3 linked regions of the Elephas maximus indicus genome follow. The protein of the gene in region 1 interacts with the protein of each later gene in a pairwise test. Links are inferred from orthologs where the notes say so. Each region holds a gene or a part of one and is shown in the gene's direction. Other genes may lie near its edges.

Region 1 (6,592 bases):
AGATGGGGGCCCGTGGGGACCCCCTACCCTCCTCCTTACCCACACAGCAGCTGGGAGGCTGGACAGGCTTTCCTATTTCCCATTTCCCTGGAAGTATTTTTCCATTTCTTCTAACGGTTTCTAACCGTTCACCTGCGACCCCAGACCCAGGACAACAAGACACAAGTGCATATGCCCAATTTGGGTGTCCCAGCCCTGAGCCAGTACCCCCATCCCTTCCCTCTCTGATATGCTTCTGGAAGCCCCCTGGCCTCCTGTCTGCCCCTCTCTCTCAGCTGCGGGAGTATTTAGCAAACCACTCCTATCACCAGACCCCCTCCACCTGTGGAGGGCTCTCAGGAGACCCAAGGCGTGGGGGTGCCCTGTCCCATGGCCCCATCTCCACAGCCTCTTGCTCACTTTCCAGGGCTCTCTCCCTTAGGCTGGAAGCCCAAATCCACCTCAGCACAGGAATCCCTTTCTCCTTCCAATTTTTCCAGTCTAGGGGGAATTCCTGGGCCCCCACCCCTGTTTCTTACCTTACTTTGGTTTAAAGGGACAGCAGCCCCAAGTCACGCCTGGCCTAGGCTCAGCTGGTCAACAGGGACGGGACATCCACATCTCAGGCCTGGTGAGTGTCTCACCTCCTCCCCTTACCCCTCAATCTCTGCCTCCATTTACCATGTACACCCCCCCTACGGCTGCAGCATTAGACTGCAGAGCAGGTAGGCAGGGCACTGGGGTAGGGAGGACCCTGGAGGAGCAACTGTTGCTTCCTGGCCCTGAAAGGAGTCTTACAGAACAGCCAGTCCAATGGTCTCATTGTGCAGATGAAGAAAATGAGTCACAGCAGCCGGCCCCTGGCCAAGGTCACAGAGTCAAAGACATCCCAGGTTCCCAGACTCCCATTTTTTCTGCTCCATGGAGAGGGGGTGGAAGGTGCTGGAAGATGGATCCCCAGCCCTCCCACCTGCTCCCTCCTAGTCCCCTTCAGCAGTGCTTGGGGAGGGATGACCCCTGGACAATTCAGAAGCCAGAGGCCTAGGAAGCAAGGCAGGCCAGAGATGGGTTTTTGCCCCAGAGGGGCAGTGTATAGAAGCTTCCAGAAAGACCCCGTGCCTGCCACCCCCATGCACTCTAATTACGGCTGCCTACATTTTCAGTTTCTGGCAGGCCCTGTGGCTGGTGCAATCGTCAGCTGTCAGGCCTCTCCAGGGAGCTCAGGCAGCTGCCTGAACACTCTGGAGCTTTCTTTGACCCTGAGCCAAAGAGGGAGGGGCCAGTTCAGCCACAGTTAACAAAGGCCTGCCAAGGGCATGGCTACTGTGGCCAGGGCCTCAGACATGGTGCAAAGGAGGCTGCTCAGGAGCACCCCAGACTTCAGGGCTAGGGAGGAGAGAAGGGGCTGTCTCGGATGCAGGAATGCCCAGACCATACAATAGGTAATGAAGCGGGGTAGGGCTAGCACCTGCCCTGTGGCTTCTGGAAAACCTCTGGGGGTGAGCACTGAAAAACTACCCTTGGCAGCTCAGCGCCCCAGGATGCCAGAGTCGGAGTCTCAAATTGTCAAAGAACAATCGGCCAGTCAGGGCTGACTTCCACCCCTTGCTCTGCTAACCAAGCCCTGTGGCAGGTGTCCGGTATCACCTCCTGAAGGAAGGATGCCTGGTCAGGGCTGGAAGGGACCCAGAGTGCCTGGCCCCACAAGGAACCCTTAGCTGCACACCCCACTCTGCACTCTGGGAGCCTACAACCCACAGCCCTTCCTGGGCTGCCTGGGAAGTCTCTTGACTGATGGGCAGGGAATCAAGAGGCCTGAGTTCCAATCCCTCCCCACCCTTCCCAGCTTTGTCACCTTGGGGCAATTCTGACCCTCAGTTTTCTCATCTGAATAACGGAACTCTGATAAGATACTTTGAAGTAGTAAAGCACATACATACAACTTCGTTGAAGTTGCAATGTCCAAAATTAAAGGCCAGGAGCACTTACTGAGCCCCAGGCCTGTAACAGGCTTTATTGCATTTGAGACTCACCACAACCCTGCAGGGTGGGCGCATTTATTATTTACCCCATTTGACAGATGGGACATGTGGGCCCAGAAAGACCACCAGTACCCAGATTCACTCCCAATCCCGTCTAACCCCCAAATGCAGTTTCCTACCCCCACCCCCATCTCGCCCAGCGCGGTGCTGCCCAGAGCCATCCATGTCCCTCCCTTGTGATTGACTGGATGATATGAAAGTTGTCCCTCAAGAACTGACCCACTGAAGATGGATATGCATTCTCAGCCCCCAGATCGGGGTGCTGTGGGGCCCCCTGGGTTGCACAACTTCCTCCTCCGGCTGGGCCAGCGGGGATGGACTCTCCACACCCTGGTTTCAGGTGAGATGAAGGGAGCGATGAACGGAGCTGTGTTCAAAGGGCTGGCAGCCAGCAGACGGCCCCCACCCAAAGGGCGTCTGGGCCTGGCAAGGCTGCACTTGAAAGCATCCTGACCACACCTGACAGCTCCCTCTAGGGTGGGGTGCCCTGGGCTCCAGTCTGGGCCAAGGTGGACAGGCAGGGGCAGATGAGGCCCTCCCTGGTTCCTGATCTCATCTCTGTTTTATAGAGCTAGGGATAGGTGGGGCTGGACATGCTAGGGAGCAAAGGCCTGGGCTTCCTGAAGCTGAGACCCTTGGGGGGCGGCCAGTAGCTCCCAGCAGAAACCCACTGGGCTTATGACATGATCCAGCAAGAGAAATGGGGCAGAAGTCAGGAGTCCTGCCTGCCTCCCACCCTGGGCTCTCCAGACCCCCGGAGCTCAGAGGCCTTTCCAGAGGTGGCCTTGGCTTCGGGGCCCAGTCCTGGCTTTTCCCCGATGAGCAGCAGGGAGGTAAGAAAGAGAGGTGTCTGTGTGCTCTCTTTCAAAGAGGAAACCGAGGCTCAGAGAGGGCATGAGACTTGTGGCCACCCCCAGCCCATCAAGATGAGCAACCTCGAGTCCTGGCTCCCATTCTCTCAGGTATGCCTGGAGTCTGGGCCTGGCCAGGGCAAGGCCTTAGTGGCCTTGGTATAGGTCCCCTATAGACCTGGCAAGAGGAGGGCCTCAGCCCCAGCATAAGGGTAGCAAGTAGAATGGGCTGGGAAAAGAGGGACCAGAGGACCCCAGGGCAGGAGCCCCACAAGGGTAAGAGCCCTGGATACTAGGAGGCAAGAGGTCTGGCTCTGTTAGTGTTTCAAGTGGACTCCAACTCATGGAGACTCAGTGTGTGTCAGAGTAGAACTCTGTTTCATAGGGTTTTCCAATGGCTGATTTTTTTGGAAAGTAGGTTGCCAGGCCTTTCTTCTGAGGCTCTTCTGGGTAGACTCGAACCTCTAATCTTTAGGCTGGCTGTCAAGTGTGTTAACCATTTGTACCACCCAGGGACTCCATCTATCACCTAGAATCCCTCTTTCCCTTTGTGCTGTGGGAATCAGATACAAAAGGGGGTTTGAAATCATAAGATGCAAAAGGACAAACTGAGGCTACAGAAAGGAGGTGCTTTGCCCCAAATTACACAGTAAGTCAACGACAAAGCCCAGACTAGATTCCAGATTGCTGCACTTCAGGTTCCCTGTCCAGTGCTCCTTGAGAAACAGATATAACAGGAGATTTGGCAATAAGCTTCCCCCACCACCACCCTCTCAGGACTAGACCTGGGGGTTTCTAAGCTGGGCCAGCCCAGTTTACTAGGGGCAGGGAAGAATGTCAAACCCACACATGCCAGCTCCTCTGCCACAGGGCTGGGGTGTGGAGAGAACAGACTTGTACACACTATCCTTCCTCTGGGTTTTTTTTTTCATCCTTCCTCTTCCCTCTTGTGCATTTCAAGTAGATAATAATAATAATATTAACAATCATTAGGTACCAGGCCCTAAGGCCTGGCACTAAGCCACAGAAGCCTTCATTATTATAAGCATTATTATTACATCATCTCCATTTTCCAAATGGGGAAACTGAGGCACAAAGAATCTCATTTGCCCAAACTAATACAATTAGGGGCAGAACCAAGATGTGCATTCAGGCAGAACCAGAGTCTGGTTCCTAACGACCACACCAGATTGTTTCTTAAGGCATTGTATCACAGACACAGTGTGGTTCAAATCCTGCCTCCGCTGCTTACTAGTTGTGTGGCCTGGGACAAGTAACTCAAACTCTCTCGGCTTGTCCTCCTTAACAAAAGAGTGGGACTGTCCACTGACCGCAGCTCAGAGCTTTAGCGCCCAGGCCTGCAAGTGTCCGGCCAACACTAGTACGTGCGCTCCAGCCCTTTTTTTTTTTTTTTTAACAACAGAAGGTTCCCGATGTGGGCAGGGCCTTCCTCGCCTCACCCCCGCCCCCGCTCCCGCCCCCGTTGGAGGAATGCAGGAGGAGGGACAGACCCCAGCCAGTCATTGCCATTAATAGAGACCTGAAACACCGCCTGCTAAAAATATCCGGTTGGAGACCCATAAAAGCCCTAGCGGGGCCAGCCGCCCCACATTCTCCGAACTTCAGCCAGACGCATCCAACCGAGCTGAACCAGCATGACTGAGCGCCGCGTGCCCTTCTCGCTCCTGCGGAGCCCCAGCTGGGACCCTTTCCGCGACTGGTACCCGCTCCACAGCCGCCTCTTCGACCAGGCCTTCGGGCTCCCCCGGCTGCCCGAGGAGTGGTCGCAGTGGTTCGGCCACAGCGGCTGGCCGGGCTACGTGCGGCCGCTCCCTGCAGCCGCGGTCGAGGGCGCCGGGCCCGTGGCCGTGGCCGCGCCTGCCTACAGCCGCGCGCTCAGCCGGCAACTCAGCAGCGGCGTCTCGGAGATCCGGCAGACGTCCGACCGCTGGCGGGTGTCCCTGGACGTCAACCACTTCGCCCCCGAGGAGCTGACGGTCAAGACCAAGGACGGCGTGGTGGAGATCACCGGTAAGGCCCCGCTCCCCTGCAGGCGGACGAAGTTAGTATGGCGAGAGCGGGCCTCCTGACTTAGCCAGCCTGGGGTGAAGAACTAGGCCGGGTTGGGGGGGGGGGGGCGGTTGAAGGAGTGGGCGCGGGGCCTGTGGGTTCGAAGTTAGAAGTAGCCAAGGACCAGGAGCTGAGCCGCCTGTCATGGCCACTCCTCCCGTCTGTTTCGCCTTCTATATTAGGGGGTAGTTCCTCAGGGCCCTTTCAGCTCTAAAAACGGCCTGTTTAGGGAAGAAACACCCCTTCCATCGTCAACTCCCAGCCCCACTCCCCAAATAATCAGGCTTTCCTGCGCCCCACCGTGCTGCGCCGCACCCGGCGTGCTGTTGGCATGTAGCGGCGGGGACGGTCCCGGCGCTGCCCCTGCCCGAGTCTCTGCTGGGGGCGTGCAAGTGCTCAAGCGCCTGCAAGGCCCCGCGAGCTGGCGCAGTGCCCCCACGGTCCAAAAGACCGGAACGAATTTTCCAGGACTTTCTGAGAGAGGGCCCGGGAGAGGCGGGTCCCCCAAACCCCTAAGTCCATCAGCGTCTGCCTTGCGCCCCAGCCACGCCAGGGCAGGTGGCGGGGCCCCTGGTTCATGACTACCCCCTCCCCACAGGCAAGCACGAAGAGCGACAGGACGAGCACGGCTACATCTCCCGCTGCTTCACCCGGAAATACACGTGAGTCCTGGCCCCAGATTGTCCCGGAGATGGGGTGAGGGGGCTCACGGGAGGGAAGGGGCTGGGTGGAAGGCCGCGGTGCCTACCCTGTGTAACTCTTGGCCTCTCTCTTTGCATGCCCAGGCTGCCCCAGGGTGTGGACCCCACCCTGGTCTCCTCCTCCCTGTCCCCTGAGGGCACACTCACTGTGGAGGCCCCGATGCCCAAGCCAGCCACCCAGTCTGCCGAGATCACCATTCCTGTCACCTTTGAGGCACGTGCCCAGCTTGGGAGTCCAGAAGCTGGGAAGTCCGAGCAGCCTGCTGCCAAGTAAAAGTCTCGACCTTGCTGCCCAAACACCCCCACACCCCAGTAGCCATCGCTGGCCATCCCCACTCACCAATCTGTATGCTCTTTTGATACGTTTACCTTCAGTTTTTCTCAAATAAAGTTCGAAGCAACCGCCAGGTGCAGCCTCAGACTCTGGTGTTTGTGGAGGGCTGTTGTGGGGGGGGGTTAGTACCCTGCACACTCACACACACACACACACTCACACATTCATTGAAATTGCTGAGGGGCTACCGGGAGCCAAGCCCTGGGGATATAGTGTATATGTGACAGGACACAGCCCTGTCTTTAAGCCCCATGACCATTAAGAGAGAGGTAATGTTTTTTTTAATGGCTGTAACTAGACAAAACCTCAAGGGCCAGGTGCGGGACAGGGAAAACCAGGAGGGGCAATTGACTCTGGCTTTCAAACTCAGGAACATAAAGACAACTAGCCTGGGGTCAGGTGAAGGGGGACAGAGAAGGGCTGGGGGAGGGGAGCGACCTGGGAGCTCAAAGTTCTTTCCTGACCACATTATCCTCCAGAGAGGGGCAGGACCATGCAGAAAGTGTGGCAACTCCAAAGTGGCTTTCTGAGGGGGGTGGGGTGGTAGCCTCAACAAAGCACCTAATCCTCTGGCCCCCATGCCCAGAAATGCAGGCTGGGACCTGCAGAGAGTGA
Region 2 (7,972 bases), on another chromosome or scaffold:
GGTTTCTTAATTTTAAGTTGGAGTAAATATCCCCAGTATCCTAAATTGAGGAGACCTGGTTAAGTGTTCAGCTGCTAACCAAAAGGTCGGCAGTTAGAATCCACCAGGCACTCCTTGGAAACCCTATGGGGCAGCTCTACTCTCTTATAGGATGGCTGTGAGTTGAAATCAGCTTGACAGCAATGGGTTATCCTAAACTGAAACTCCATCTAAACTTTTGTGACTTTATAAAAATTTGCCTTGAAAAATGTATAGAGACCAAAGTTTATCAGTGGTTACCAGGAGCGAGAGGGAGGGGGAAAGGAGGACCCACTGTTTAAGAAACAGTGAGCTTCTGTTTATGGTGATAGGAAATTTGGCAATGATTATGGGTATGGCTGCTCAAAACGATTAATGTAACGGATATCACTAAATTGTACATCTGAAAAATGTTATATTGGCAGCTGCTATGTTATATACATATTCTTGACAATTAAAAAAAATTTACCTTGGGTTTGGTGTGCTTCTCCTAGGTTGTATGAATAATTCTTTTCTGGCACTCTCTTTCCTACCTCAGGCCCTTTGCCCACGCTGATCCCTCTCCTGGAAAGCTTTCCCCTGATTCTTTGCAGAGCTGACTCCTTCTCATCCTTCAGTTCAAATGCTATCTCCTTAGAAAGATCTGCCCTGAACATCCGCTTCAAAACTTCTTCTCATCTATTTCCATATTTATTTCCTTCCCAGCACTGATCACAATCTGTAATTTTCTTGTTTATTTATTTACTTCTTTGTATCCTCCACTCTAACGTCAGCTCCTTGGGGGCTGGGATCTTGCCCACTGATGTCATTATCTACCCCCAGCATCCAGCACAACACCAGGTATACAATAACTATCTGTTGAACAGATGAACTTGTCTAACAAGATGCACACCAATGTTGTAAGGCTGTGGACATACATACATGGTTATCTTAATGCGACAGCCTAACTTAAAAACCATCTAGGACTTCAACTGTGGCCCTCATAGTAGCCCATGTTTCATAATAAGTTGCTCAGGGCTTAGGAAGGGCCACAGTGCAGCCTGGGGGTGCCCCAGTGATGTCACACAGGACTAGATTCTCTAATCCTTATCATTCTATGACAATCTTCTAAACAGCTAAGTTTTTCATGATACGATATGGTTGGGGGGGAGGGAGGAAGGAGCACTAGGATGGGGGGGCTCACACCCCCCAAACAAAATTAGTTTGGGGGCATTATCAGTTCACATGTACTACTCCAGGAGCGAGTGGGGAGCAGATGCCGTAATTTGGACTAAGCTAAAAAAGAGAGAATAGAAGAATGGGGAAAAGAAAGGTGAAGAAGATGGAGAGTGAACAGAAGAAAATGAGAAGAGCGATAAGGAAGAGAAAAGAGAGAAGAGAAAGACAACTGAAGAAGATGTGTGTGAGAAAAAGGCGTGAAACACGTAGTGAAAGAGCAGGAGGTAGGAAGACTCGAAGCTGTTCTGCTTGGCTTTGTAACTCTTGGGTAGTTAACTGGCTTTGGTGTGAATGGATGGATGGCTCAGGTGAAGGGGATTCTAGGTCTCCGCCCCCCCCCCCCCCCCCCCCCGCCAGAGGTCACTTAAATTGCTGAGATTGTTTTGAGAGGCCCAGGCAAGGCTGTCTCAGGATGATTCTCCTGGGTGCTTTCACTATAGTAATTTGGCAACAAAGAGTGTAAACCTCTTCTTTAAGTCATGGTTGTGAGAAAAGGGGAAGAGAGTATTGCTGACCAGTTTAAGTTTTTATACTCTCCACCACAAACCCTGTCCTTACCCCAAACGTCTCAATTACTAGGTTAATAGCACCAAGTTAAATTCAGGACATTAAAGCCAACTTTCAGAAATATTTTCTGTTAAATGAAATTCAAACAGATTTCTAAAGCAGAGTAGCATAGTTTTATATCTATAAAAATTACTAAAATACAGTTATGGCAATATATACCCTACTGATGTTCCACAAAGGAGCCCTGGTGGCACAGTGGTTAAGCATTCCACTGCAGACCAAATAAAAGGTTAACAGTTCAAACCCACCATGGGAGAAAGATGTGGCAGTCTGCTTCCATAAAGATTTACAGCCTTGGAAACACCCTATGGGGGTAGTTCTACTCTGCCCTATAGGGTTGCTATGAGTCGGAATCAACTCAACAGCAATGGTTTTGGTTTGGTTTTTGATGTTCCACAAAAACTTACTATGAAGAGCCCAAATATGTGTACAACACCCAGACAAGGCTGAAAAGAGAAAAACAAACAAAACCCTTTAACTCTTTTTCAATTTTTTTCCTTCTAAATATTTAAAATTTTTCCTTAGTATGAGATTTAATGACAGGGATATTATAATAGCAAGCATATTTAATCAGAAACTATTGACACTTTTGTTCTGAATTTTACAACGTTAATCTTATAATTCATGAGTTTTTTAGTTCATACCAAAATGTATCCAGAAATAAATAACAGGAAGGTGCAGGTTTATTGGTAGTCTGTGGTACACTGTGAAGATTACTTATAAATCTCTCTGTGCTCGTATTTTCTATTTTTCTCCCACTTCTGCTACAATTTGGCCAGATCCTTCTATAAGTGTAGAGCAGAGAAAAGAAAGGGGTGGAAACCTAAAGGAAGGGCACAGAAAGATGGGCAAGACCTTCAAGTTCTCTGTGGCCCACTACTGCCGTTGATGAACCAGCTTCTACCTCATGAATAAGAAAATTAGTTTTTTTTTTTAAGAGCATGCCAAATCATGGTTGCCACATGGGCTTTTCTATTTCAGAGTGATAACGACTCCACCATCATGCTAATTGTGCTATTACTTGTCTGACGTATTAAGGATTTCAGTAGGGCAGAATTTCGAAGATCTTCGTTCCAATTTCTTTTGTTGGCAGGTGTGTGGAGAAGTAATTAGGAAATGTGTCCTCAGATGGGATCAAATGCATAAGTGAATTTTTTTACTTTGCATATCTGGAAATGATCCATCTTCATCTTACTCTAAGAAATCTCAAACCCAAAAATATTGGGTAGAGTGATTTTGGGGTTCCTTGGAGATTTGACCAGTCAGTGACCATTTGGCAATACTGTTTGATACTGTTGTTGCTGTAGTTAGGTCCCAGGTCTAAAAGTGGAAGGCACAGAACCTTCCCACAAAAGACAAATTGAAAAAATTAGACAGGGCTCTTACAACTTTAAAAGCAGCTAAATAATGCTAGCTGAATGACAGAATGACATAATAAATAACTCTCTTTTGATCTAAGAGTTGAGGCAACAAAGTGGTTTTAGGAGATAAAGAGTACCAGGGTGCAAAATGCTACAGTAAGCTCCGGAGATAAAATGGAAAGGCCTCACCACAAACTTACTTTCCTATTGGCCAGGGCTCAATTTGACTAATATTTTCAGGTGTTCTTTTTAGAGTACCTCCCTCCTACAACGAAGTATTTGATTTTTCTTTGCATACACCAAAGCATCTTTTAAAGCTCCACGGATTTTTCTTTTAAACTTCTGTGACTGCAAAAGTGGTGTAGATGAAACCCACTAACCGGTTAATCCTCCAACAAGAGAAAGGCGCCACAGCCAATGGGAACGTGCTGGTGATGTATTGCTCTTAGTTCTGATTCATTGGCCACCTAAGGTTTGTCATTCTACCCCCAGCGTCTGCAAGTAGCGTGGGTCACATTTTCTGAAGTCTAGCTAGCTGAACTGGATTTTAGCCATCTGCACGTGCAGTTTCAACTAAGTTTAGCTCATCTCTAATTCTTAATAGAAACAGCTGTTACGCTTCTGATTCTCCGGATTTTGAACCCTCCGTTTCTTAACCCCAAAGGAGGTCGTTGTAGGTCCCCTGTTACAGAATAACGTTATGTCTAGCATGTGCGAATGTGGAATCCCATGAGTTACAAACTGAAAACCTGCCAGAAACTCAGAACACGTGCCCCGTGCGTGAATAAGTTGCACCCGAGTGTGGGTGGGTGGTGGTAGGGTGTGTGTGTTCTTGCTCTTTGGAGAGCGAGGTGTTTGGCCGTGGCACCACCGTGGGCCTCCCTGGGTCACCTGGGGTAGGATGGCTCTGTGAAAACCGGGGCACCGGGGAAGGGGGTCTGGTTGGGGCACGAGACCAAACGAGCGTCCTAAGAGCAGTGGCCAGGCCGCGACTAAATCAGAGAAGGGTGGAAAGCTCGAGGTCAGTCCTTGGGACTCCGTGGGCGGCGTCTCAGCAGGGACTGTCGAGGGGCAGGGAGTGGGGCGTGCATCTGCAGACAGGTGGAAACTCCAGGAGAGGAGGTGCGGCCGCCCTGGGGGGCTCTTCCGAGATCCCCTAGGGCCGAAAGCCGGGCTTTGAAAGGCTCTCGAATCCACCGGGCCCGAAGAGTAGCACATTCCATTCAAGCTCCGGTCCCAGTTCCTATCCGGAATCCGGACGCTCCCCTCGGCCTCGGCCTGGAGCCTCGGTGGGGAGGTGGCAGCAGCGGCAGGCGAAGCATGGTAGTGACGTCATTCAGGGCCGCCCCTCCCCCTCCCCCTCCCCCTCCCCCTCCCACCGGCGCTAGCCGCAGTTCCTGCCCAACGACATCCGGGTCTCTCCAGCTGCTCCGCCGCGCCGCAGCTGTAGCGGCGGCGGGGCGGGGCGGCACGGGGCGGGGGAGGGGCAGCGCGGCTCCGTCGTGAGCGCGCCTGCGCGGGGGCGCGCTAGAGACAGCGGCGGCGCTGGGGACGGGAGCGCGCGCGGGAGCGAGGGAGCAGTGGTCTCGGCGCCGGCCCGGCCCGGAGCTTTGGGAGCTCGGGCGCCTACGGCTCCGGAACGGGTGGCCGGGGTGGGGGGTGGGGGGGCGCCAGGCAGGTGGGGCGCGAACGCGATGAATCCTCGGGTCTTCCTCCTCTTTCTCCGGGACCCGCTCTCCGTCTCCCGCTCCAACGCCCGGATGATCTGAGCCGCGAGGGCGCCGAGAGCCGGGGGCCCGGACGCAGCCCGGCTCCTCCCCGCCTCCGCCCCCTCCCCTGCCTGACCCGGCGGACCGCCGCCGAGGTGACCCCCTCCCCGCCCCTCCCCCGGCTGCCGCCGCCGCCTCGGCCGACCAGGGACCTGCCAGTCCGCGGCTTGCTCCGGGTAAGCGCGGCGCTCGGGCTGAAGGCGGGCGGGCGAGCGGCGCGGGCCTGCGCAGCGGCGGCGCGGCCAGGCCTGGGGCCTGTAAACAAGCCGGGCGTCTGCCCGGGCGCTCCCGAGAGGAGACGCGACAACTCCACCCCCTGGCCGGCCTCCTTCCCGGAGCCAGGCGGCGGGCGCCGAGGGGTTAACGCTCCGCGAGGGCGGGGGCGGGGTGTTTGTGGTGGCGGCGCTGGGAGGGAGCGCGACCCTCCCACGGCCCGGGCGGGGTGTTTGCGGCGGCCGTGCGGGCGGGGGCCGCGGGTCGGCCTGGCCCGAGAGCGGCCGGCGGAACTTTTTCGGAGCGAGGAGCGGGCCTCGCGGCTGCCGCCCCCCCACCCGGCCGCGCTGCCCTGGGCTCCAGCCCCTGGGAGGGAGGCCGGGAGGAAGAAAGGGAGAGGCGTCCTTTGGACCGGACTAGCCCTCGAAACACCAGATTCTGGGGGATTTGCTTCAGGCTTTATAGGGAGCAGGGCTGAGAGTGAGGCTGCTTCAGAACTCGAGTCGGTGACGCCTCCAATTCATTCATGTTAAGACATCGAACCGAATCATTGAAGTAAATTATACTGATTTTTCCTCCTCGTCTTTTTAATCGTGGAAATTGTTTGGGTAAAAGTTCTTAGTGTTAGAGCTTGGTTAAGGTATGGTTCTCTTCTGCTTTGTAGATTTTAAATAAACTTGGAGCCTTTTCTTGAAAGACAGCTGGCTGTGGAGAGCCTTCTACCAACTGCAGTTTTAGATATCTTTTGGAAATTTCATCACCTGAGGTATTTTCGTTCTCTCTTCTCCAGCACCACATGGTACTTACAAATCCGCAAAGGTCGTGCTTCAGTTGTCCAAGCCAGGAAACATATGCGCCGCCCCCGGTCCCAAGTTTTCTGCTAATTGGAATAATGAGCAGACTGTGTTTTAAGAAGTTATTGAAAGAGTATGGGAAGTGTAAAAATCCATGGGAGATGTGTATTTCTTTCCCAGAATAAATGATTTTGAGATTATTGAAAGAGATTAGAAATTTTTTTAATTGTTCTTACGAAAAAAATCTAAAAACTTTTCAGACTTGCACGTTCTGGTTTTAAACACAACCATGTTTCAAGTACAGAGAGCGCTGAAGAGACAGAGAATTTATTTATTTAAACAGTACTCTGCTGAGCCTTAGGGGCTTCAGAGCTCTCAGGAGTCCAGCTGGCAGAGCTTGGTCCCTAACTCCCTTTTTAACTGGAACAACTTCACTTTTATATTTTTATCTTTTTAATATTGGGCCTCTTCCAAAGATTGTATTTCTGTAACTTTACAGAAGAGAAAATAAGAGTAAGAAGATAGTGACCACTCTCTGAAACTTTCATTCCTCCTCCCCTCCCCCCCAGTTTTCTAACCCTGGATGTTAATTACTTAATGTTTCTTTTGCCAATAAGTAATTTGAAGCACACAGTAACATTTGTTTCATGAAATTATAGTTCTGTTCTTATGTGTAACTCGCGTATATCTGGTTAAACATTCAGTCATGTTGGAATGATTAGTTTTAACCTGCAAGTTTACAGCAAATACCACATTATTAAAATTATAATGAACTGCACATGGAAGTTGCTTAAGACATTTTTTATTTGATAAACATTTTCCTCATCAGTGAAGTAATTTTGTGTGAAGTAATTATGTGGAGCTGTATATTAAGACTAATAGTTTGAAGTTAGCTACTTCAATCTGTGTTATATTTGAGAAATACTATGGTTGAGTGCCAGAGTCATCAACATTGCTTTTTACATGGGTTGTATCTTTTTATATTTAGTATGAAGGGTAGAAGTGGTGACTATACTTACAGTATGATCTTTTTTTTTTTTAGTCAGTATGATCTTTTGAAGGGGACACTACTAGGAGGCAAGAATTGTTTAGTCATGGCTGTGCTCCAAAATAATCTGTGTCCATGGACAAGTCCTTTAACCTTTTGATTCTCGGTTTCCAAAAACCCTAAAGTGAAAGGGGCAGATTATTTTATTTATCAAATGTTAAATTTTTTATTCTCTCATCAACATTATGGAGCCCTGGTGGCACAGTGGTTAGGAGCTTGGCTGCTAACCAAAAGATTGGCAGTTTGAATCCACCAGCCACTCCTTGGAAATCCTATGGGGCAATTCTCCTGTGTCTTGTAGGGGTGCTGAGTTGAAATCGACTTGATGGGCAACCAGTTTGGTTTCTTTTTTTTTTGGCGTCAACATTGTGTGTCCGACATTCAATGTACTATGACCAAATGCCTGGTACGTACTAGGCACTTAGATGCTTCAACATTCTAAAGCTGATTTTCTTTCTGGGTTGTGTTTTATTTAAGAGAACTTTAAGTTGTTCAGTGTTTGTTAGGAAAGATACTCTAGTAAATAAACTTTATTGATTTCTCTGTTGAGATTGGGAAGAAACTCCTGGGAGAAAGGACAGAGATTCCGAGGGACAAAAGATAGCTAAGACAACAGGTTTGAACAAGTGCTCTGCCCTGGGTAGTTTGATATGAAGGACATTGTAAGAGTTTTGCTGACAGTTCATGCTCGGTCTTGCTTATCTTGACTTACTAAACCTTCATTTGAAAATTTGTTCCTAGTGCCTGATTTTTTTTTTCCAAAAAAACCTATAAACCAAATCCAAACCCATTGCTCTCAAGTAGATTCCAACTCAATAGCGACTCTGTAGGATAGAGTATATAACAAATCTATAGCAACATCATTATGTCACATGGTAAATATTGCTCAGCACTTAACTAAAAACCTGTAGTCTTTGAATTTGTTCCGATTAAACCTAGGCTTTATTGTAATGGCTCAGAATGTATAGCTGATTCTGGTTTAAC
Region 3 (6,984 bases), on another chromosome or scaffold:
GAAGAAAAAATTCAAGCTTTGACTTGCAATACTGAAGGATTCTACGGGGAAAATATTAAACAATGAATGAAGCCTCAAAAGAAGATGGAAGGAATATACAGAGTCACCATACCAAAAAGAATTGGTTGATGTTCAACCATTTCAGGAGATAACATATGATCAGGAACAGATGGTACTGAAGGAAGAAATTCAAGCTGCACTGAAGGCACTGGCGAAAAACAAGGCTCCAGGAATTGATGGAATACCAGTTGAGATGTTTCAACAAACGGATGCAGTGCTGGAAGTGTTCACTCGTCTATGCCAAGAAATTTAGAAGACAGCTACCTGGCTAACCGACAGGAAGAGATCCATATTTATGCCTATTCCCAAGAAAGGTGATTCAACCGAATGCAGAAATTACTCAACGATATCATTAATAGCACATGTAAGCAAAATTTCGCTGAAGATCATTCAAAAGCAGCTGCAGTGGTATATCGACAAGGAACTGCCAGAAATTCAAGCCGGATTTAGAAGAGGATGTAGGACCAGGGATATCATTGCTGATGTCAGATGGATCCTGGCTGAAAGCAGAGAATACCAGAAAGATGTTTACCTGTGTTTTATTGACTATGCAAAGGCATTCGATTGTGTGGATCCTAACAAATTATGGATAACATTGTGGAGAATGGGAATTCTGGGACACTTAATTGTGCTCATGAGGAATCTGTACATGGATCAAGAGGCAGTCATTCAAACAAAATGAGGGGATACTGCATGGTTTAAAGTCAGGAAAGGTGTGAGTCAGGGTTGTATCCTCTCACCATACCTATTCAACCTGTTTGCTGAGCAAATAATCTGAGAAGGTGGACTATATGAAGAAGAACAGGGCATCAGGATTGGAAGAAGGCTCATTAACAACCTGTATTATGCAGATGACACAATCTTGCTTGCTGAAAGTGAAGAGGACTTGAAGCACTTACTGATGAAGCTCAAAGACCACAGCCTTCAGTATGGATTACACCTCAACATAAAGAAAACAAAAATCCTCACAACTGGACGAAAAAGTAGCATCGTGATAAACACAAAAAAGATTGAAGTTGTCAAGGATTTCATTTTACTTGGATCCACAATCAATGCCCATGGAAGCAACAGTCAAGAAATCAAAAGACACATTACATTGGGCAAATCTGCTGCAAAGGACCTCTTTAAAGTGTTGAAAAGGAAAGATGTCACCTTGAAGACTAAGGTGTGCCCGACCCAGGCCACGGTGTTTTCAATCATCTCAGATGCACGCGAAAGCTGAACAATGAATAAGGAAAACTGAGGAAGAATTGACGCCTTTGAACTGGGTTGCTGGGGAAGAATACTGAATATACCACGGACTGCCAAAAGAATGAACAAATCTGTCTTGGAAGAACTACAACCAGAATGCTCCTTAGAAGCAAAGATGGTGAGACTAAGTCTCACATACTTTGGACATATCAGGAGGGATCAGTGCCTGGAGAAGGCCATCATACTTGGTAAAGTAGAGGGTCATCAAAAAAGAGGAAAACCCTCAATGAGATGGACTGACACAGTGGTTGCAACAATGGGCTCAAGCATAGCTACAATTGTGAGGATGGTGTAGGACTGGACAGTGTTTTGTTCTGTTTGCATAGAGTTGCTATGAGTTAGAACCAACTCAATGGCATCTAACAACAACGTACGTGTATACATATATACACACACGTATGTATGTATGTATATATATACACACATGCACACGCACAGAAATACACATATCTGCACATATATTTTTTAAACATGATTATGCATGTTTTGTGACTTGCTTTTCCTTTTAATAATAGACATATTTTCAAGATGATGAAAATAGAACAATATCCAAATATTAAAGTTTATTAACGTTCCATTATGAATAGCATATGGAGCAGCAGATAGAATCATTGATCAAGAGGTGGGCTTTGGAGATAGATAATGGAGGACTTAAGTCCTAGTTCCTCCACTTAGAATTTTTGTAACCTTGGATAGGTTACTGGTTGCTACAAACCTTAGTTGCTTAAGGGAAATAATGAGGTCTACTTGGCAAGGGATAGTAAGGTATTGGCAGGGCGTCCAACTCAAATGCTTTCAGTATGAAAGACCTGAAGAGGAAGAACCCTGATTTTCAGAGTTCAGGCAGTAATGCTTTGGCATGTGTCCTAATGAGGCTTTCACAACACAACCCCAAGTCACACTGAGAAACAAAACAAAGCAATACACTGAAGGCCAAAACAAACAGAAGAAGGAAGAGAAGGAGGAGGAGGAAGAGTACAGAAAAGAAGCCCCAAAACAAAACTAGAACTCTCATACATTGATGGTGGGAATACAAAACGGTGTATCCACTTTGGAAAAGAGTCTGGCAGTTCCTCAGCAGGTTAAACATGAAGTTACAATAAAAAACCCCATTGCTGTTAAGTCCATTTGGACACATAATGACCGTATAGGATAGAGTAGAACTGCCCCACAGAGTTTACAAGAAACACCTGGTGGATTCAAACGGCTGACCTTTTGGTTACCAGCCAAACTCTTAACCACCATGGCTCCAGTAGGTGCCAGCAATTTCACTTCTAGGTATATCCCCAAAGGAAATAAACCCACACATTCATACGAAAACTTGTACAAACATGTTCATAGCAGAATTAGTCCTAATAGCCAAGAAAGTGGAAAGTCTATCAGTTGATCAATTGATGAATAGATAAATAAAATGTGGTATATCCATATAATGGAATATTCGACAATGAAAAGAATTAAGTACTGATACATGCTACAATATGGATGAACCTTGAAAACATTATGCCAAATGAAAAAAGTCAGCCAGGAAGGACCACACACAGTGTGATTCCATTCATATGAAATGCTCAGAGTGCAGGAAAATCCATATGAAGTACCCAGAGTAGGAAAATCTATAGAGACAGAAGGTAGATTAGGGAACGGAGGGTTGGGGGAAACAGAAGGTAGATAGGGAAGAGAGGGTTGGGGGAAATGGGTGGTGACTGCTAAGCAGTAAGGGGCTTCCTTCTGGTGTGATGAAAATATTCTAAAATTGACTGTGGTGATGGTTGTGCAACTTGAAAACACTAAAAGCCACTGAATTTTCAATGGGTGAATCGTATGGTATTAGATTTCTACTTCCATAAAGCTGTTTTTTAAAAAAGCAAACTAGGGCATTATGATTTTGGATCACAAGAAAATGGTATATAAATGTTGGATAGAAGAAGCCCTTAAGTTGGCTATTACTCATTGATGGGTATTTATGTTTTTCTCACAGTGATCAACATTTTTAAAAGCATAGCATGTACATAGCAACACAACATGGAGCACCTTCCCAGGCACCGTTTCCTTTGGGAGTCTTTGGAGATGCAGAAGAGGCCCACCCTCCCTCCAAAAGGGCTGTGCAGAGGGCATGTTCTTGGGAATATAGAGTGTGAGTAAAGCATCCTTTTTTAGTTAGAATTTTTCTGTCAAAATGGTAATACAACACACAAAAACAAGCCCTTCTAGTATACTTTCCAAAGCCTTGCTTTGGGTAAAAGTTTTACTATGAGCTTGTATTGTCGTAAGTTCCAGTAGGAAGTCATACGAGGTGGTTCTGCTTTGATCTCATTTATGGAACTTCCCAAGCCCTTGGAGCAGAGGAAAACGAAGCCTCCCCCTCTGTTAGGTTTCTCTGACTCCTTCTAATAACGGGTATTAACCTAAACACGCTTTGGGTTTGAACACATCAAGTCAATTTCAACTCACAGCGACCCTATAGTACAGAGCAGAAATGCCCTCATAGGGTTTCCAAGGCTGTAAATCTTTAGGAAGCAGACTGCCACACCTTCCTCCCGCGGAGCAGCTGGGGGATTCCAACCGCTGGCCTTCCGGTAAGCAGTGAGTGCTTAACCACTGTGCCGCCAGGGCTCCGAACACATCTAAGCTCCTTTGAAAATACGTTTGGCTTTTGAACAGCTGATGTGGTAACAGGTGGGGGAGAGGGCTTGGCCCGACTGTGCCAGGGGGTGTGGAAATGCGGAATTTGAGCCAGTTAATTTGAGGCCTTCTATTCAGTCAATAGAAGGCGTCAAATAAAAAAAAAAAGGGAGGGGGGGCAGGGCGCTAAAGAACTTGCAGCACAATAGGATGTACATTTCTAGCCACCCTTCCCCCCAGCAACGCGGTGCCAGTAGGCGTCTGGAGCCCAGAAAGTTGCTCTTCCCGCAACAAGGACACTACTTCCGAGGTACCAGCCTGGCTAAGCCCGGGGTGGGTGCCGGGGCAGTGGGGTGCCAAGGTGTGCGGCGCACAGGGCCTGGGACGGGGCCGGGGACGGGGACGCGGACGCGGACGCGAACGCGAACGGCGGGGTCTGGGACGGGGCCGGGGACGCGGACGGCGGGGTCTGGGACCGGGACGGGGACGTGGACGCGACCCGAGGACGAAGCGGGGAGGGCGGCGCTCGCGGGTCAGCGGAGGTCGGCGATTGTGTCGGGAACCTGCAGGGCGGTGACGGCGGGCGGAGCAGCGGCGGGTGATGTAAGGAGCCGCGGGGTCCCAGCGGGAGAGTCAACGCTGTGCGGCGAGACCCCAGGGGCGCGGGATTCCAGCCCCGCCCTGTCCTCCCCGCCCTCCCCCCGCCACCTCACGCCCTCCCCCCCTCTTCCCCTCTGGTTGGAAAGTTTCTAGAATCTCTTCCCGGCGGCCTTTGCGGTTCCAACATGGCGGAGCTGACGGTGGAGGTTCGCGGCTCCAACGGGGCTTTCTACAAGGTACTGACCTTTCTGCAGCTCGGCGGGGTCTCCGGAGGGCTGGGGCGGGCCTGAGGGAAGGTTGGCGGTCTCCAGCAGTGCGGTCTGGGGTCGCAAAGGGCGGCCAGGCCTAAGCTCAAGGCCGCCAGGCCCCTGGCTTAGCTCCCCTCGGCCCGCGGTTTAACGGTCTCGGGGTCCCGGGCTCCGTTATGTTTTTCCAAGACGTCGGACCCTCCTGGCTTTCTCCTGCTGCCGGGCCTCCCTCATGGCGGCCGGCGAGGCCAGGCCGAGTGGGTGCCCGCAGGCGGCGAGCGCCGTGGAGGCAGGCCCGACCGCCGGCGGTGGGAGCCGGGAGAGGGGGCGGTGGGTGGTGGCGGCCGCCGCTCCCCGCGCTCGCTCTGGGCGGAGGGGGCGCCCCTGCCTGCGCCCCCGACCCTCCACACCCGGAGGACGTCGCGGAGACTTAGGAATCCACCTTTCTGTTGGGCTTCAGGCCGGCCAGTTTTTCAGTCTCTAAAGGGGAAAAAGAGGGTACCAAATTGCGGGTTAGCAGCGGAAAGAGAAAACTAGAAAACCTCGAAATGTGGCGGGGAAGTATTTTTGCGGACTGGGAAGTGGGGCGGCGCCGCGGCCCCTCTGTTAACGGAAGAAAAGCAGAGAGTCCAGCGAGGCTTTAAAGTGAGACTTCAAAATGTGAAACGGATCAGGGAGACAGGTGGGGAGTATACTCGTTTCTCTGTATCCGTTACTCTTGTGTTTTTGGAGGGAGGGTGTTGTCTTTTGTTTTTTTTTCCGCGAGTTCCCCCCCTCCCCCGGTTCCCTTTGGGAGGAAAGAGATGGCATTCCTCTGAATTGGGGCAGGAAGAGGCGGAGAGGGATTCCAGAGCAGGGGAGTTTGGTGTAGTGTAGGGGCTGCCAGCGTAGGTGCCAGACAGCGAAATGAAATCTTAAAACAGTTTATTTTCATCATTACAATGTCTCCTTTTTCCGATTCTCCGTTTCTCCCTAAGTATGCCAGGATGTTACAAGATCAATACAAGATCTCTACAGCTGCTGTCTGTCAGTCACTCTCACTAAGCCAGCATCTCAAATGTTTGAGAGCCCTGGCTATTTTTATGAAGGGCCTTCTCCTGATACAAGAACACTGTGCGTACGCAGAAGGAATTCTCACTGGGCCTACCCATGGGACTTTATTTTTGGTGGTCATGTTTTCCTGTTTTCGGCGTTTTGTTTTTCCTTTCCGAGTTTACCGATTAGCTCCGTGCATTTGGTTTAACTGTCACGTGGTAATAGTATAGTGGGGAGTCACAGCTGGCGTATAAAGGATCCGTTTAAGCTTTTTCTAAGTTTAAATTTTCTTAGGTGGTCAACGTGAGAGTAGAAGCAGTGACTGCCTGGTGGAAAGGAGTCATTAATATGACCTGTTAATATGACACTACTTATATTAGCAGTCTAGGTATAAAACTTGGTGTCAGACAAAGGACCTAAGTGGAATTTGAATAATTTCATTGACTTCAGTTTTTTCTGAAACCTAGTGGTTGCATTCTTTCAACGACTGAAAATAGGATTAGTTGGGGCACGGTGGACAAAGAATTGGCTCACCATACTTTTCCTATAAAGGATAGACAGAGCGGTTCATCATTTTATGTCAACACTTTTCCCCCATGAAGAAGTTTCAGATTATCACTGTTTGGCTTTATGTTTGGCTTTATGTTTCTTGTGTCATAGATGAATTTTTCTCATGCGTTTTTCCTGCATATTCCTAAAAATAGAAAATGATCACATTACTTTAACAAATTGTTTTGCAGCCTGTAGGTGGTAGAACACATTTCGACTTTAGTCAGGTGTATGTGTTTTATTATGTTGATAGCCTGCTGTCCAAGATTTTCTTCATTTTTACTTTCTTTCTCTTTGGTTTTGTAGTATTCATTATTTAAAGTCATCAATTTGAATGGTTTAGTGAAGGTTGTTTGTAGATTGGCTTCTCATGGTGGGTTTCTTCCCCCCTGTCAAGTAACAGTAAATCAAATGTCCCCGTTCTGGAATCCTGAAGTATTTATTATTGATCTCTGTCCATACTGTGCAGATCTACTGCTTGGTTCTACTTACTTTCACTCCATGGTCCATCTTATGTAACAAAGTGAAGTGGCTTTCTGGGAAAGGTTGAGAGTAGAATGACTCAAAGGGAAGGACCCTAGCCACAATTGTGTGTACTAAAATGATATTTGCACTGGAATGT

The links. The genes of interacting proteins can lie anywhere in the genome.
Region 2: the proteins of HSPB1 (region 1) and PPM1A interact in a two-hybrid assay, tested with the Homo sapiens proteins (2 studies listed by BioGRID and IntAct). The link is inferred for Elephas maximus indicus from reciprocal best matches to the Homo sapiens genes HSPB1 and PPM1A.
Region 3: the proteins of HSPB1 (region 1) and FXR1 interact in a two-hybrid assay, tested with the Homo sapiens proteins (2 studies listed by BioGRID and IntAct). The link is inferred for Elephas maximus indicus from reciprocal best matches to the Homo sapiens genes HSPB1 and FXR1.

The regions. Positions count from the first base shown.
Region 1 is NC_064830.1:94,249,976-94,256,567, reverse strand, and holds HSPB1 (heat shock protein beta-1), read left to right. Parts: upstream 1-4,407; 5' UTR 4,408-4,527; coding exon 4,528-4,903; intron 4,904-5,540; coding exon 5,541-5,604; intron 5,605-5,727; coding exon 5,728-5,917; 3' UTR 5,918-6,081; downstream 6,082-6,592. UniProt on the Homo sapiens protein: Small heat shock protein which functions as a molecular chaperone probably maintaining denatured proteins in a folding-competent state. Plays a role in stress resistance and actin organization.
Region 2 is NC_064828.1:72,637,277-72,645,248, forward strand, and holds the start of PPM1A (protein phosphatase 1A), read left to right. Parts: upstream 1-4,956; 5' UTR 4,957-5,109; intron 5,110-5,362; exon of another isoform or gene 5,363-5,701; intron 5,702-5,810; exon of another isoform or gene 5,811-5,912; intron 5,913-7,972. UniProt on the Homo sapiens protein: Enzyme with a broad specificity. Negatively regulates TGF-beta signaling through dephosphorylating SMAD2 and SMAD3, resulting in their dissociation from SMAD4, nuclear export of the SMADs and termination of the TGF-beta-mediated signaling.
Region 3 is NC_064819.1:34,108,909-34,115,892, reverse strand, and holds the start of FXR1 (RNA-binding protein FXR1), read left to right. Parts: upstream 1-3,968; 5' UTR 3,969-3,984; intron 3,985-4,161; exon of another isoform or gene 4,162-4,170; 5' UTR 4,171-4,240; intron 4,241-4,649; exon of another isoform or gene 4,650-4,676; 5' UTR 4,677-4,715; coding exon 4,716-4,766; intron 4,767-6,984. UniProt on the Homo sapiens protein: mRNA-binding protein that acts as a regulator of mRNAs translation and/or stability, and which is required for various processes, such as neurogenesis, muscle development and spermatogenesis.